Struthio camelus: one gene and its partner. The protein of the gene in region 1 binds, or shares a complex with, the protein of each later gene. Links are inferred from orthologs where the notes say so. Each region holds a gene or a part of one and is shown in the gene's direction. Other genes may lie near its edges.

Region 1 (7,085 bases):
TTGATCATGAATTCATACTCATTACTGATATACTGAATTTAGAAGAAGTCTTTGATGCAAAATAAATGCCGTATCTTTCAATAATAAATTTTATTTCCGAAATAAGGACCACTAAGGTCAATTTAAAGATTCCCAGAAATTTCAGTAGGTGCAGAGGATACTTTTTGTAAGACCCCTGTCCATATATTAATCCCTGTCAGTCATATGCTCCTTCACAGAAAGGTCTCAGCCAGATACGACGGGTGATAAATTTACAATGAGGTGAAATAAGAATGAAGAAAGATTTACATCTGTGGTTTGTCATTCAAGTCCATATTCAAGTACTTAAAAAAGAAGATTTGTCAGCCATAATAGATCTCTAGGAACCTTAACACAGATAAATTATATCAGGGGTGCAACATTATTGTAAGTTGAAATCAAATATTTAAAATACTGCAAAGCATGACTGCATATGGAATGTAATCATCAAATGTTAATAAATTAGTCACTTAGGAGGTTTTAGTGGCTTTTCGAAATTTCATGACAAAAATGGACTTTTTTTCTGCATTACGGGAATATGAGGCAATACCAAGAATCCCAGTTCTGCAAATATTATGCATTAAGTCAGCCTTACCTTCCCATCAAAGCTCGTGGGAAGTCAGTTGAGTACAATTACTCTTATCCACACGTTTGTAGGGTTAGGTCAATACTTGTAAACATTATGCAGCCTTATTAATTGCCTTGTAAATAAACACACTTTTAAGGCATAAATAGATACATGGAGTATAAGGAGTGAGATAATAGTAAACAATACATTACTCCTGGAGCTTCTGCAATCTTTTCTTCTCTTTGCTTCAGGGTGGCACTGATTTTCTGCATTTCAGACTCGAGTAAATGCAAAAATTCAAAAGTCAGCTCCAAGCTTCACGTAATTCTGAAGGAAAACTGTTATTTGACTCCAGGTTGTCTCAAAGCTGGGCTCAGGTCCAAGCTTACTTGTAAATCTTGTAAAGCTTGCAGGCTGAACTTGGGTTGCATATTGGAGATTTGAGCCTTCCCGTGAGATCCCCAGAGGTAACCCATGTTGCGTTCCACGCTTCTGTTCCAGTTCACGCTGCTCCTTGCACCTGAATTAGCCTGTTTAGAGGTAACCTGGGCATTTCTCCTCCATGCTGCAGCACAGACATCCTCTCTCATCTTCTTCATCCCAGAGCTTCAGCGAGCTCCATGCAGACAGGCACTTTCATCTATGTGGAGTTCATTGCAGGATTGGTACCTTGCTGGGAGTCTTGTTATATAGTTGTAAATATTTAGCACAGTAGTCTTGATACTTCAAGTACTGCTGTATTAAAAACAGTAATACATCCTTTTCGCATTTCAGCTACCATAACAATGTTTTGGTACTGCTGAAAGACTTCCGATCTGGACCTTACTGTACTGGATGGGGTGCCCCCACACTCATGCATTGCACTGTTGCACTGCTAGTCATGTGCTAGTGGGGTTCAAATTATTATTAGTAGTCATCGCCCTGAGGAGCTCTGTAAATGATGAATGCAGCATCACATATGTGGGTGTAGAGAAAATTATACAAATGGTGAAGAAATTCTTCCTGTGTAACACTGTGCCCCTGGATTTACCGGTGTTTTATGTTATCATTCTTTGATCTTTGTTTGCTATGGTGTATGCAGAAACAGTGTGCCCGAGGGAGGGGAGCTCAGTCTCGCTTGCTCTAGCGAGCGCTAGCCGCTGGCGCCCGCTGAAAGCATCTCCCACTTGGGCTTGCACAGGCAGTTGTGCCCTCTCTCCCCGACCAACAGACGCATCCTTTCACGCGTGCACACAGCAGCCAGAGGAGTGGAGAGTACCTGTTTCCCAGTCTGTTGGCTATGGCTTGGTGAGCAGCTTGTGGGCCTCCGGGGACCCTGGTGCAGTGCTGTGCATTGAGTGCGAGCACTCTCCCGCCGTGTGCCCCACACAAGCTCTCCTGGGCATCCTGGGTGGCTGTGGTGGCCTTGCGGTAGGGAAGGGCAGAGGGGAGTATAAGGAATAAACTCCTTATTCCAAATGAGTGTTGCCAGTGTCATTCCTATCTCTGCATGACCCACCGTGAAGCCGCAGGGGTGCCAGGACACCACTAACAGAGGAACGTCTAGCTTGGGGACCCCTGCGCAGGTGAGGCATGAAATCGGGCTGACCTTCAGTCCTGCAAGGAGCGGAAGCAGTGGGATCTGGGGAACAGTCATGTTCCTAACTGAAGTGATCCCCTTTAGATACTGGAACGTGCTACCCTTAAACAGTGTGGGGCCCCTGGAGTGAGGAACTGCCTTAAGCTGTACTCTACGAAGTAGACTTGCCATAGTTTTTGGCAACCTCAACTCCCTATGCCTTTCCAGCCTCTTACCTCCGTGCCTTTGCTCCATGTTCTGCCTTGGCACACTCTCGTTATTCCGTGTACTCGCATTTCTCTGGTCCTGTACTCCACTCCCCCAAGTCTCTCCCCACTCTGTGGTCTCATTTAGACGTGTCCTACGTGAAGCAGGACCTTCAGCTTACCGCATGCCAGCAGACTTGCAGTCGCCACTCGTACCTCATGGCACAGGCACAGCAATCCGCGCCTTACGCCCGTTTTGGAAAGCTGAGGTATGCACCCGAGTGGTGACAGCTGAGTGCACCAGGGCAACCTGATGTGGGCTAACCGTGAAGCCTACGGAGACCTACACGTGCAGGAGGACAGGTACCCTCCGAACGAGCCTGCAGGCTTCAGTACTGTTTCAGAAATTGCTATTTTGGACTCTCCTCCAAACTCTAAATCCTACATAGCTGCAGGTAGGTGGGTAGGTGAAGATGTTGGTAGTTCTGCCCACAATCTCCAGACTGCCAGCACCAATCCAGAAACACTACAGGAGAGTGACTACCCCGTTTACAGATTGCAACTGAAATACTGTGCTGGCTTGGTGCCTGGGCAACGTGAACATGTAATTCTCCATTTGTGGAGCTCAGCCTTGGTCCTTCTGTCACCTTTAAAATAGAAATGATAGCACTTTTTAGTTTTACAGAAATAGCTGTGAATTAATACAGTCAAGATTAGGAGACCCTCAGATACAGTAGGAATGGAAACAACATGAATACCAGGTCTGCATATTTATTTCCACCTGTTGGATTAATTACAAAAAATGTAGAAAGGAAAAAAAAACAACCCAGATCATAAAGAAAATCAAAAATTTCACTGAACTTTTAATTGCTTTACTAAATAACCAAGAAATAGGTCCCCGGATCACTTTCTCCATTTGTAGGGCCAATATATAGCCGCCACAGCGATGGGATACGTGACGGCGGATAAAATAAAGGCTGGGAGAGGAATCTGCCTTCTGATTTTTCCAAAGGAGTCTGAAAACAGTATCTGGGTGAGAGGCGCGGCGGGGGCAGGGACGCGCTCCGAGGACCCCGGTGCGCGCCCCGCTCCCCGAGCGCTCCACGGGGGCAGCTCCTCCGCGGGCGCGCAGCCCCCGCGGGCGCCCGCGGAGCCGCACCGCGCGCACCCCAGCGCCGGTCCTGAAACCGAAAGGGAAGGGAGCGTCTTTTCTTTTTTGCTTAACCTCCCCCCCCCATATATATATATATATATATATATACACACACATATCCGTATGTATGTAACGCACTCCAGATTGGCGGCACACGGATTCCCTCGCCGTGTGAGGCTGCTGCTTAAAGGGCAGCAGGGGGGTGGTGGCGGTGGTGGCGGGGGGGGGGGAGGCGGATTAAAATAAAGCACGAAGCGCGTTTAAAAATAGCGGCCGCGAGGCTCCGAGGTGCGGCACGAAGTCTGGGCGCGGGGCGGCGGCCGGGAGCGCGGCGCGGCTCCGCGGGCGCGGTTGTTCCCCCCCCCCCCCCCCCGGGCTGGGGCGGCTCCGCGGCCCCCGGCGCGCTGCCGCGGAGCTGCGCGGCTGCCTTGTAGGGAGCGCGGCTCGCCCGCGCCCGCCCCCGCGCCCGCTGCGCCGCTCGCCGCAGGGAAGCCGGCAAACGCCTCCCCCCCCCCGTCCCTCCCCTCCTTTCCCCAACTCTTCTTTCCTCCTCTCTCCCTCCAGGAGCCCCCACCCCGCCTCCCGCCTCCCGCCCTCCTCCTTCTACTCTGCAATCAGGGGAATAAATCAGGGACGGACACACAGGCGCGCAGAGTGAGCGGGGATCTGTTACAAAAGTAGCTCTGATGGCGGCGGATCAGATGGAGCCGGAGCTGCTGCTGGAGTAGCGCAGAGCGGAGTATCGCTCGCTCTTCTCTCTTTCTCCTCTTCCCCCTCTCCACCCACAGCTCTCCATCGTTCCTCCTCCTCCTCCTCCTCCTCCTGCCCACCCAGAGCCGCGCTCCCTCTTCTCCGCGCACCGCCGGGCTGCGCCTGCGAGGGGGTGGGGGGTGGGCCGGAGGAGGCTTTAAAAAACAACGGGGGCCTCCCCCCCCCCACCCCCGGCAGTAATTTCATTTATTCTTCTCGTTATTACCGCCTCGCCGACTTGGGGAAGGGGGGAATCGATCTTCGATCAGGAAGATGGCTGCTGGCTGGCTGCTAGTCTTTAGTCTGACACTTTTCCAGTCCCTGGTGATGAACCACTCCTCGGAAGGACCCTTCCCCTCTGCCACCACGTAAGTGCCCGCCGCCGGGTCGGGTCGGGCCGGGTCGGGGCGCGGGGGGCGGCGGCGGCCGCCGGGGGCGGCGGCGCGGGCGGCGGCGAAAATACAGAATACCGGCAAATAAAGTAAGTCCGCCTGGAAAGTGGCGGTGAGGGCAAACGGCAGGATTTCGGCTGCTTTTGTTGGGGAAAAAGGGGCAGGGTGTCCGCCAGCCTCCTCCGAGGCGCGGCCCGGCAGGAGGGAGAGTGCCCCGCTGCCGGCCCCGCGGCTGCACCGTGGGGCTGAGCGCCGCAGCCCGGCTCTAAATATACCCCCAACAGTTGGGAGCTGGGCTGCGAGGAAAGTTTCGAGTTACACAGAGCCCGCCCCCTCCTCCCACAAAGGTTATTTCAGTTTGGCTGGAGTTTTGACGCTATTTCTTGGAGGAGGGAGTTTAAAAAAAAAAAAAAAAAACAAGAGGAGGAAAAAACCAAAACTTTAGCAATTTCATTTGAAATAACGCAAGAAATAATAGATTTTCTTGCCTCTCTCAGGCAGGCTTGCAAAACAGCCAGGACAGCGTTGCTTTGAGTTGTGAATATACGTTTCAGCTCACTCCTACCTGGATATTTTCCAGGGCACACCACGAATATTTTGACAGTTCCAGGGTTTGTTTTATGTATGTGTTTGTTCGTGTGGTTTTGCGTGTGTGCGCACGCGTGTGCAAAAGCAGACCCTCGCTAGCATGCTTAAAGCAACACAGCTAAATAACAAGCCTAAGGGCTGGCCTCGCAGATCATTACTTATCAAAATCGCCTTTCCGAGGTCTGATGAATATTCCTGCTTCAAGCAGCTCTATGTTTGCATGACTGTAAGATAGAAATCTTTAAAGCACTGCATGTTCATTAGCATGAAAGTGTTGCCCAGAGCAGTGCAAGGATCATATGGTGAAAGGCAAGCAATAAAAAAAAAAGGGGGGGAAATAATCCAGTACATCATATTTCAGGCTCAGCTATAGATTTAGAAACAATAATAAATACGATGGACTAGTGACTGTGTTTTCGGCCTTCTTTTCTTTCCTCTTTCTCGCCTTATTTTTTTGGAAGCACTTAGCAGCACTTACTTAGTCCCAGAATCTGGGTTAAAGCTATCAGTAGGTAACTTCTAAGTGGATGACTCACTTTAATGCATTTTACATAAGAAAAACAGTGCTAATGGTAGTCTTCCCTATTGTTTAACGCTAGATAGAATTTATTGCCCTTGTTCATTATGTGTACAAGGATGAGTTTACAGCAATTACCAGCAATGCATTTTCACCAATTAGTACTGTGGGTAGGTTGTTATAATTGGATTCAGTTCCGAGTATCGGTTCCATTATGACTCAAAGGGATGCTTGTACTGTTAAATGAAAGAAGGGAATACAAAGATAAGTGTAAAATAACCACTTAGTATCTTCTAAGTGAATAAATGTAGACTTTAATTGAAGGGAAAATTATCTTTAAAAAATATATTTTGTTGTAATTTATAAAGATGTGCCACGTGAAAGCAAGAATGAGAAAATGCAAAGCTAGGGCTTTTTTAAATCAGTGCTTTTCATGTGTTTGATCTCCTGCATTTGACTGTTTCTTATTGAATTGGTAAAGTATACTATACAAAAGTAATCACACTTTATCCTATATGTATTTAACTAATTTTAAAAGGGAAAGAAATATGGAACTTATCGAAATAAAAAGAAGATTTTATAGTTTCAAATAGAACTCTAGCTCACTTTTATTATAACATTACACATTTCTTTAAGATTTTCATTGTTCCTTCTGTCCATATATGCTACTTCCATTCAGAATTTGCCTTTACTGTCAGTCATGATAATAGGAACTGTCAGCAGGGCAAAGTATTTTATAATTGGACTCTAATTATAAAGTATATCTATGATTAAGGGATTCAGAATACTGTGTTAGTCTACAGCATCCTGTGTTTCACTCAATCTGCTTACTGTTAGTTTTCTTTTTTCTTATTATTTATTCTATTGAAATATTGTAGGAGCAATCTACAGGGCCTGCCCATCCTTCATAGTAATGTTTCCCCCTTGAAGTTGAATCGAAGTGCAAATAAGGTTTGGTTCATTTAGGAGGCAGCACAACAGGTTGATAAAGGGGGACAGCTGCTTTGCAAAAAGTAGTGATGTAACAGGTGAAACAAAACAACTTTATGATTCTCTTTCAGCACTTGATAGTGGTATTTTGTTTCCTGCTATAGATTACAAATGAGGAAGAACAAAGAGAAGTGACACGAATAGGAGTGCCCATAGCGTGAATGATTTTGTATTTTAAAAATATTAAATACAGGGGAAAAAAAACCTCAGGAGAAAGAGAATAAAGGAGAGAAAGGGTATTAACAATTGAAGAACCAAAGGTTAACTGATATTATGTACTTAGCTGTCTACTTTTTTCTCATTGTTTTCAGTCTATTTTTCTCTCTTTCACGAGTTAGTTGAAAA
Region 2 (7,130 bases), on another chromosome or scaffold:
TAAATAAAAAAGGGAAGTTAAAATTAAGGCTAATCTTTTCCCTGTCAGTCCTAGCTGTAGTGATCATATTGTTGTGACAGAGTAAGTCTAATGAAAAATGTTTTAAATTTCATAGACTCTTCTGTTATTAAACAGACTTTGCACATATTTTCTTGCATATGCAGGCCCTCAGAAACAAACCTTAGCAAAGACATCCATGCAGCATTGTGGTAGCCTTTGGTCGTTCCTGAAAGGCATTATTCCTTCTCCAGAGGTAATTTCCAGGTCTCAGAGGTTGCCAGCTGTGGAAGCAGTGTAGAAATCCCTATGTGATTCCTGCTCCTTATGGAAGCTGCAGATCCCTTTTTGAGCAGCGCATCCTCGTGTGCGGGGATTGTGTGGCTTCCCAGCTGGGCTCTCCCTTCAGCACTGCATGGTACCAGCTGACCCTCCACCAGCTCATGTGTTTGCACCTTCAGCAGCAGTTCTCTGCTGGATTTGAGGCTTTACTCAATATCAATATCCATGGCTGCTTCATTTTTAAGAATGCTTTTAGCTGGCTTGTGCCTAGTGTCCTCTTGGCTCTTTCTGTTAAAATACCGATGTGCCTATTTAGCAGGACAATAAACAGATCAACTGAAAAGCAATTCTGAGTGTGAAACTCTTACAAGACATACCTGTTTCTAGCTAAAAAATGAATGGCATCTCCTGACACAGAAAATTCTTTTAAACTTTCCTAAAGATGACCCAGAGGCAGTGCAGTGTTACACAACAAAAATTAGTTCTTCTAGGCAAAGTTAGAAAACAGGTGATGTTCTGAAAGGAGAAAGTTTGGCTTCAGGTCTGCTGAGAAGAGATGCTTGCTAACTGTGTGGGACTGCTAAGCAAAGGGCTGGAGCTCATCTGGTTTTGCTCAGGACAGGCAAGATAACCTTGCTGTAAAGAGTTGGTTTATTTAGTGTCTAATCTACAATTTGGAGCCCGCTACTCCTTGTCTTGTTCCCAGTGGGGATGGTGCACGTGCGGGATGGAGGACATGGGGAGTGGGGCAGGTCTATGGGGTCCCATGCTGACTCTGGCGGGGTTGAGATGGTGACTGGTTTCTGCTTGACTGAGATGTGTTGGCTGTTGCGTGGTTCCTCTGTGCTGGAGGCACCTTGGTGGGGGAGCCTTGTGCATGGAGAGGAATGGCAGCTGCTGGAGGCAGGCGGAGACCTGGGGCAGGCGTGGGAGTGGGAAAGAGCTGTGCATGGATCAGGGCAGTATAAAGCTGCAAGTCCAGTAGCACTGGGCAGAAACCAAAGCAGAGCTAGCCCAAAGTGGCTCCTGAATGCAAAGTAGTAGGGCAGGAAGGTACCTTTCAAGAGGATAGAGTCCCTTCCCTGGTCCCAAATGGGACCTGCTTTATCCAGATGGTTCTTGATCAGGGTTTGTCTGGCCAGCTCTTAGACTGCTGGGGAGCTGCTGGGTTTTATCCCCATGCTTAACTCATCTTGCTATTAGGAGTTTTTTCCAGTGTCTAATTTACAATTTACAGCCCATTACTCCTTGTACTGTCCCCAGTGGGGATTGAGCACGATTTATTCATCTACCTTTGTAGCAACACTTTACATAATTGAAGCTTGCTATCATGTCTGTCTTCCGCCTCCTAATTTCCTGACTAAAACTTGGTTCTTTCACTCTTTTTCCAGCAGGCCATGTTTTGCTGCCCTGCATGGCTCTTTGCTGCCCTCTGAACTTTCTCCAATTAGTCTGCATCTGCAGTGTTTGTGGCTGTACATGCAGGGGGAGGAGGAAAGCTAGTTGGGCTTTTGTGCTCGCCAGGAAGAAAAGCACTATTACAAAGCTCCAGGTCCTTTAGGTTACTTGGGGAGCGCTGCTGTGCAGGAATAAGCTTAGCAAGTGGGCACTGAAAATAGATCAAGCCCAGGAAGTGTCTGCAAAATGATGCAGGGTGGGATTTGGGGAAGCGGGCTGAGGCCCTGGGCGATGGGCGCTCCCAGGAAGCCGCGTTTGGTGGAGCGGAGTTGGATGCTCATGTGTTTATTAAAGATGCTTGTCTGGGTTGAGCTGGGATGTGTTGCTTTGTGGTTTTGCACAGGCAAAACCTTTCCAGACAGCACCTCGGGGGCTGCCCGGGGCGCTCGGCGCTTCCTTTGCTCTCTGTGTTTGCGTGGCCGAGGGAGGTGAGCGCAGGAGGTCTCTGGGGTGCGTGCGGGCTCCTGCCTGGTGGGAGCGTGGCAGTCGGGTGCAGAGAGGCGCTGGCGGGTGGGTGCTGCTGCCTCTGCTGCTCGCTCGCTCCCCCGAGACGAAAGCTGCCCGGATGTCAGCGCTGATCTTGACTGTCTCTCGCTGTATCGCGCTGCTGTCTAGCCGTAGCTGCGCGGGGTGGTGGGAGGAGAAGCTTGGTTTCGTGTCTGCGCGGATCGGGGTTGTCTTCTCTTTCGGGATGGGGAAGCTAATCTGCATTTGTGTCTAATCATCCGTGCAGCTGGCAGAATTAGATGTGTAACGAGCTCTTGGGGAGCCTCGCCTTGCCGCCTCCTGCTGAAGGAGCGAAAAGCGATGGTTGGCGCTGCCTCGGCTTTTACTGGGGAAGGCAAAGCGGGGCTGGTGTGCGTGGAAACGCAGGGAAAGAGGGAGCGCGAGACGCGTGTCGCACGGTGAACCCCCAGAGTTCAATTACCCCCGCTCCCACCGCCGCCAGGTAACCATGGAGACAGCCTAATGCAAAGCATCTCCAGCCCCCAACTGACGGCGTTCAACATATATATATATATATGTTTCTTAACAAAGACCCTGAGCCCGTCCCTGGTGGGAAGGAGCTGCCTTTGTGTCCAGGCCGGCTGCCATGATGGGGTCGGGCAGGGCTGGGACGAAGGGCGCTGGAGCCAGTGGGGCGCCCTCTCGGAGGGCATCTCTGCCTCCGTCCCGGTGCCCGCTCCTGCGCTGGAGCTGGATGTCCCGATGGGGAGGGAAGCGGCCTGCCCCTGGCAGAGGCCATGGTAGAGGGACTCCAAGGGTTGAGGGCTGCAGCGCCCGAGGGAGCCCGGACGCTGGAGGAGACGTTGAAACGCAGCGCTCCTCTCCAGGCTTTTTCTGCCTGTTGAGCTTCGCTGGGGTGTGGGGGCCTGCAGGGGAGCTGGGCTGTGCCGCTGCCCAAGGGGCCTGCGGGGCCGGGGGCCATAGCGCGTCCTGCCTGTGGTGGCAGCTGGTGGTTGCCATGGCGACTGAGCGTGTCCCCCACCTCGCGCAGTGGGGCCTGTCCCGCTCGGCAGCCTGGCCGCAGGGTCGCTGCGCGAACCCGCAGCGATGTCGAGTTGCGGCCTGTCGCTTCAACCCTCCCCGGCGATTTATTTTTTTCCGTGGGCTCTGGGCTGTGTAAGAGGAGGCCTCGAGCTGCGGCGGCCATCGGCAGCCCTGGGAGGGCCACGTCCCCCCGTGTGCCTCCCCTCGCTGCTGCTCCCGCTTCAGCCGCGGGTCGAAGCGGAGCCGGCTGCTGGCGGCGGCCTGGTGTGTGGGTTGGAGCAGGGGCCCCTTTGCACCAACATGGTGCATGGCTGGAAAACTTGCATTTTTTTAATTTTGTTAAATTCCAGGAGCTGTGTTGAGGTCTCGGCTCCCTTGGGAGCTCAGAGCAAGGCAGATGTGAAAAGCCCCAGGCTGGGGAGAGCTGGGTGACCTGCAGGTCTGTGGCCACCGGCTCCCACCCCTGGTGGGCGCTTGGTGCTTACCTGGTCCCACCTGAAGATGGGTGGGAGAGCACAGGGGCGTCTGCTGGGCAATGGGTCGGTTCATGTTAAACCTGTTAAGAGGTCCTGGACGTGGGGTGTTCAGCTCCAGCCTGGGAGTTGAACGGTGGCCAGCTCGGCTCGGGCCCGGCCCCTTCCCCGGTGCGTGCTGTGCCTGGACGGTCCTGCCTCCGCTGCCTGGAGCTCGGCTCCTTCCCTCTTTGTTGTTCCCCGGCTGCCCCCTCTGGTATATGTGCGAGTTCCCTTTCTCCGATTGTCAGAAATTTCTTTTCCACTGTGTGGGCAGGAGACAGATTTTAACTGTCTCTATTTTCTCCCTTTTTTTATTTCTCCCCCCTCCCCCTTTCCTCTTGCACTCCTTCCTCTGCTCCTTCTCTTGTCTCTCTCCCTCCCCCTTCCCGTCTCCCCCCCGCCCCCCTCCCCGTCTCCTTTTCTCCCCCCCTCTGTCTCTTTATATTACAAATAATGTCTCTGGAATAATACGTGACCTCACCCAGCTCGAAGTGCAGGAGCCATGCCTTTATTTCAAGGTAAGCTCTTGCTTTCGCTTGCTGCTGGTGGAGATGGTGGATGCGCTGCGCTCTCGCTCGCTTTCCAAAAGTAGGTAACGCCGGGTTTGCTTTTTGGCATTGTTCGTCCCTACCTAGCGCAGGCAGCCAGGCGCTCGCTGCTACCTGTTGGGGGAACGGCTGGCTCTTGCGCTCCAGCCCCTCCTTTTCCATGATACTTCCAGGAGACAATCCCCCCTCCCGCTGCTGTCAACTGGTGCTGCCTCCTTCCTTTTTCTCTCCTCCAGCAATTTGGTCTCCGTGGACATTTCCTCTCCTCCCTTCTCCCAAGGCTTTTGTTTTGTCTTCGCTGCCAGGGATGCTCTGGGTTTTTTCTATGCTGCTGCTTCGGGCAAGCCGTGGTTTGGAGACCTACTGGGAAAGGAGCCGGCGGCAGGGTGGAGAGAAAGGTGCGGTGTCTTCCCACGCTGTCCGCGGTCCCGAGGGTCTCCTTGCCTGGCGCGGGGTTGCACTGTGGACGCGCTCGCCTCTGCCGTGTTCCCTCCGTGCACTGGGGCATTAGGCTGTGCTCTTTGCAGGGGGACTCAAGTTTTAAGAAGGACTCCCTGTATATATATTTTCTTAAAGAGGATTTGTCTGCATCGTTGGGGTTCAGCTGTGCTTTGGAAAAAGCTCTGGTTTGACAAAGTTTTTATTAAGGTAGCCTATGAGTGTGTGGAGGCTATTCAGTTATTTTAAGGTGGATCGCTGGCTCCTCAGGGGGATGGTTGGGGTGTAGCGGTGCGGATGCGGTGGGAAGAGGAGAGGAGCGGATGCCTTGCCGGAGACCCCAGCGGGAGCAGCAGGTGTGTGTGGGGACCAGGAGCGTGGCTGGGCTGGAGCTATTGCGCCTTTGCTTCTCTTCTAAAGCTTGCTTGTGACGGTCTTCCCCGGCTGTCCTGGCTCCTGCTTTGCTGATGCTGGGGGGCTGTGCTTGGGCCATGGGGAGGATGAGTCCCCCCATGGACCCTGGCTGGCTGCCTTTAGAAAAGGGGCTTGGGGGTGGGTCTGTGCTGGATGGTGGCTGCCCTGCTTCATACCTGAGGGTATGGGGGGCCATGGAGTGGGCTGAGCTCGGTCAGGGTGTCTAACCCTGATGGTGCAGATCTCTTCTCTTGCCTTGGATGCTTGAGACCCTTGTTTCTGTTAGGGAGCCCTTCCTCAGAAACTGGAGCAGATCTGTTGTCCAGTGGTGGATTGGCTGTGTGCTTGGTCCCGCTCCACTCCTCTGCTACCCCTGTGGCCTCCCAAATGTACTGGGTTTCCCTGAGGAGACCAGGTCTCTGCTGGGAGTGTGCAGTCTGCATGCTTTCCCCCCAGGTTTCCTTGCCTGATGGCCTTGGGCTCCTACCTGGCTTGTGTTATCTCCCCTGCACCTGGTCTGCACTTTTTTTTGTGGGTCCATGTGCTGCTCAGGAGTTTGGGTCTTCCACCAGTGCCACCTTGGAAGTGGTGATGGCTGTTGGTGAATAAGCAGTTCCCAAAATCAGGGTGCTGTTTGTCTTGCTCCTGTAGCTCTCCTGGCTGCTTCTGCTTCTTGCAGAGAGGGTGTGTTTAGGTGCTCTTGGCTTGCTGTTTTTTACGTAGCTGGAGGGAGACAGAAATAATTCTCCCCCAGGGATTCTGGGCAGGCATATGCTCCTTTACACCCTGTCCATGCTGCCTACTCCCATGTGCTGCATCCTCTTGGGTGGGTGATCTCATCCTGCTTTAGGTGCTGATGTGAGGCCAGCCTTGGTCTGTCCATGCTGCAGATGGGGAGGTCTCAGCTCAGGATGCTGTGGGATGTGGTGACACTCCAGGCTGGTCCGGATCCACTGTGCTGGGGCTGTTTGGCAGAGGAGGCATGATGCTGCAGAAGGCATTGCCAGCGAGATGAGACACACGTTTGCAGCCCTGATGACTGCTGATGGCATCTTTGGCAAGGCCAGGGTATTGCTGCTCCAGAGCCCTGGGCATGCAGCCACTGGTTGAGCAATTGGAGACAGAGCACCATCCAAATGGGAGTCTTTTGGAGAGATTCCCTTCTGCTCCTGCTCCTCCATGCGTTTGGGTAGCGCTGCTGGTACAAAGCAGCAGCTGGGGTGCTGGCCAGGCACTTGAGACCTGACTTCCCTTGCCCAAACTAGCTGTGGGAAGTCCCTCCTGTTTGCTAGCGTGAGGGTCTCAACAATGTGATTCTCCTGGTGGCACAGTGCAGGAGGGCATTGCAAAGCCATGGGGCAGGGCTCTCAGCACCAGTGTGGTGGGAAGACTTGGTTTCCTTTGCTGTCTGTCTCTGGCTTCAGGGAGTGGAGGAGAAGATCACAAAAATAGGCTGTCCCGGGGAGCTGAGTTCCCCTTTTTGCTGCTTTGGGAGCCTCTTAGCCTGGTTGACTTTCTTCATTCCTCAGAGGTCCTATAGTGCCCATAAAGTTTGTTTGCAGTAGTTTGGGATGCGTGTTCGTCTAAGTAGCTCTGGGCTTCCTTCTCTCCTGTTGCACAGGACAAAGTAAACCTCTCCCTGGTTGAAGGCTGAGTGAGTGTGGCTTGTCTGCAGGGGAGCAGATGTGCTTTGTGGTAACCGCTGTTCCCCAAGGAAGTCTCCTGGCTAGTGTTGGCTTTGACCCCCTGCGAACAAATCCTCCTGTGGATGTGTGAGTCTGCAGCCCCCTGGGCCCCCTCCCCAGAGTGGTTGAGTCAATGCACCCACCCACTGCATCCAGTACTGTGAGTCACAGGCTTTTCATACACTGGTGTGAATCACTCACAGCCACACTGATGACTTTAGTGACAGTTGAAAAGAGAAAACAATCACCCCTCTTCCCCCTCCCCATCACCACTATCAGTGCTACCAGGCTCTTGCTCACAG

What was found. The genes of interacting proteins can lie anywhere in the genome.
Region 2: the proteins of CACNA2D1 (region 1) and CACNA1E are in contact, whole or in part, in a cryo-EM structure (PDB 8EPM), measured with the Homo sapiens proteins. The link is inferred for Struthio camelus from reciprocal best matches to the Homo sapiens genes CACNA2D1 and CACNA1E. Residues at the interface, in NP_001353796.1 of Homo sapiens: Thr170, Asp171, Tyr173, Ile233, Leu235, Ser261, Gly262, Ser263, Ser265, Gly266, Leu267, Lys270, Ala327, Lys328, Gly329, Ile330, Thr331, Glu366, Gln391, Asn393, Tyr394, Ile416, Gly417; in NP_001192222.1 of Homo sapiens: Gln110, Leu112, Pro113, Glu114, Asp115, Asp116, Lys117, Pro119, Arg122, Asn630, Phe631, Asn632, Asp633, Gly634, Ile1330, Gly1331, Asn1332, Val1334, His1336, Met1341, Val1343, Arg1346, Arg1393, Ser1394.

Annotation. Positions count from the first base shown.
Region 1 is NC_090942.1:11,268,765-11,275,849, forward strand, and holds the start of CACNA2D1 (voltage-dependent calcium channel subunit alpha-2/delta-1), read left to right. Parts: upstream 1-4,072; 5' UTR 4,073-4,526; coding exon 4,527-4,621; intron 4,622-7,085. UniProt on the Homo sapiens protein: The alpha-2/delta subunit of voltage-dependent calcium channels regulates calcium current density and activation/inactivation kinetics of the calcium channel. Plays an important role in excitation-contraction coupling.
Region 2 is NC_090949.1:6,979,921-6,987,050, forward strand, and holds the start of CACNA1E (voltage-dependent R-type calcium channel subunit alpha-1E), read left to right. Parts: upstream 1-4,126; 5' UTR 4,127-4,261; intron 4,262-4,454; exon of another isoform or gene 4,455-4,689; intron 4,690-7,130. UniProt on the Homo sapiens protein: Voltage-sensitive calcium channels (VSCC) mediate the entry of calcium ions into excitable cells.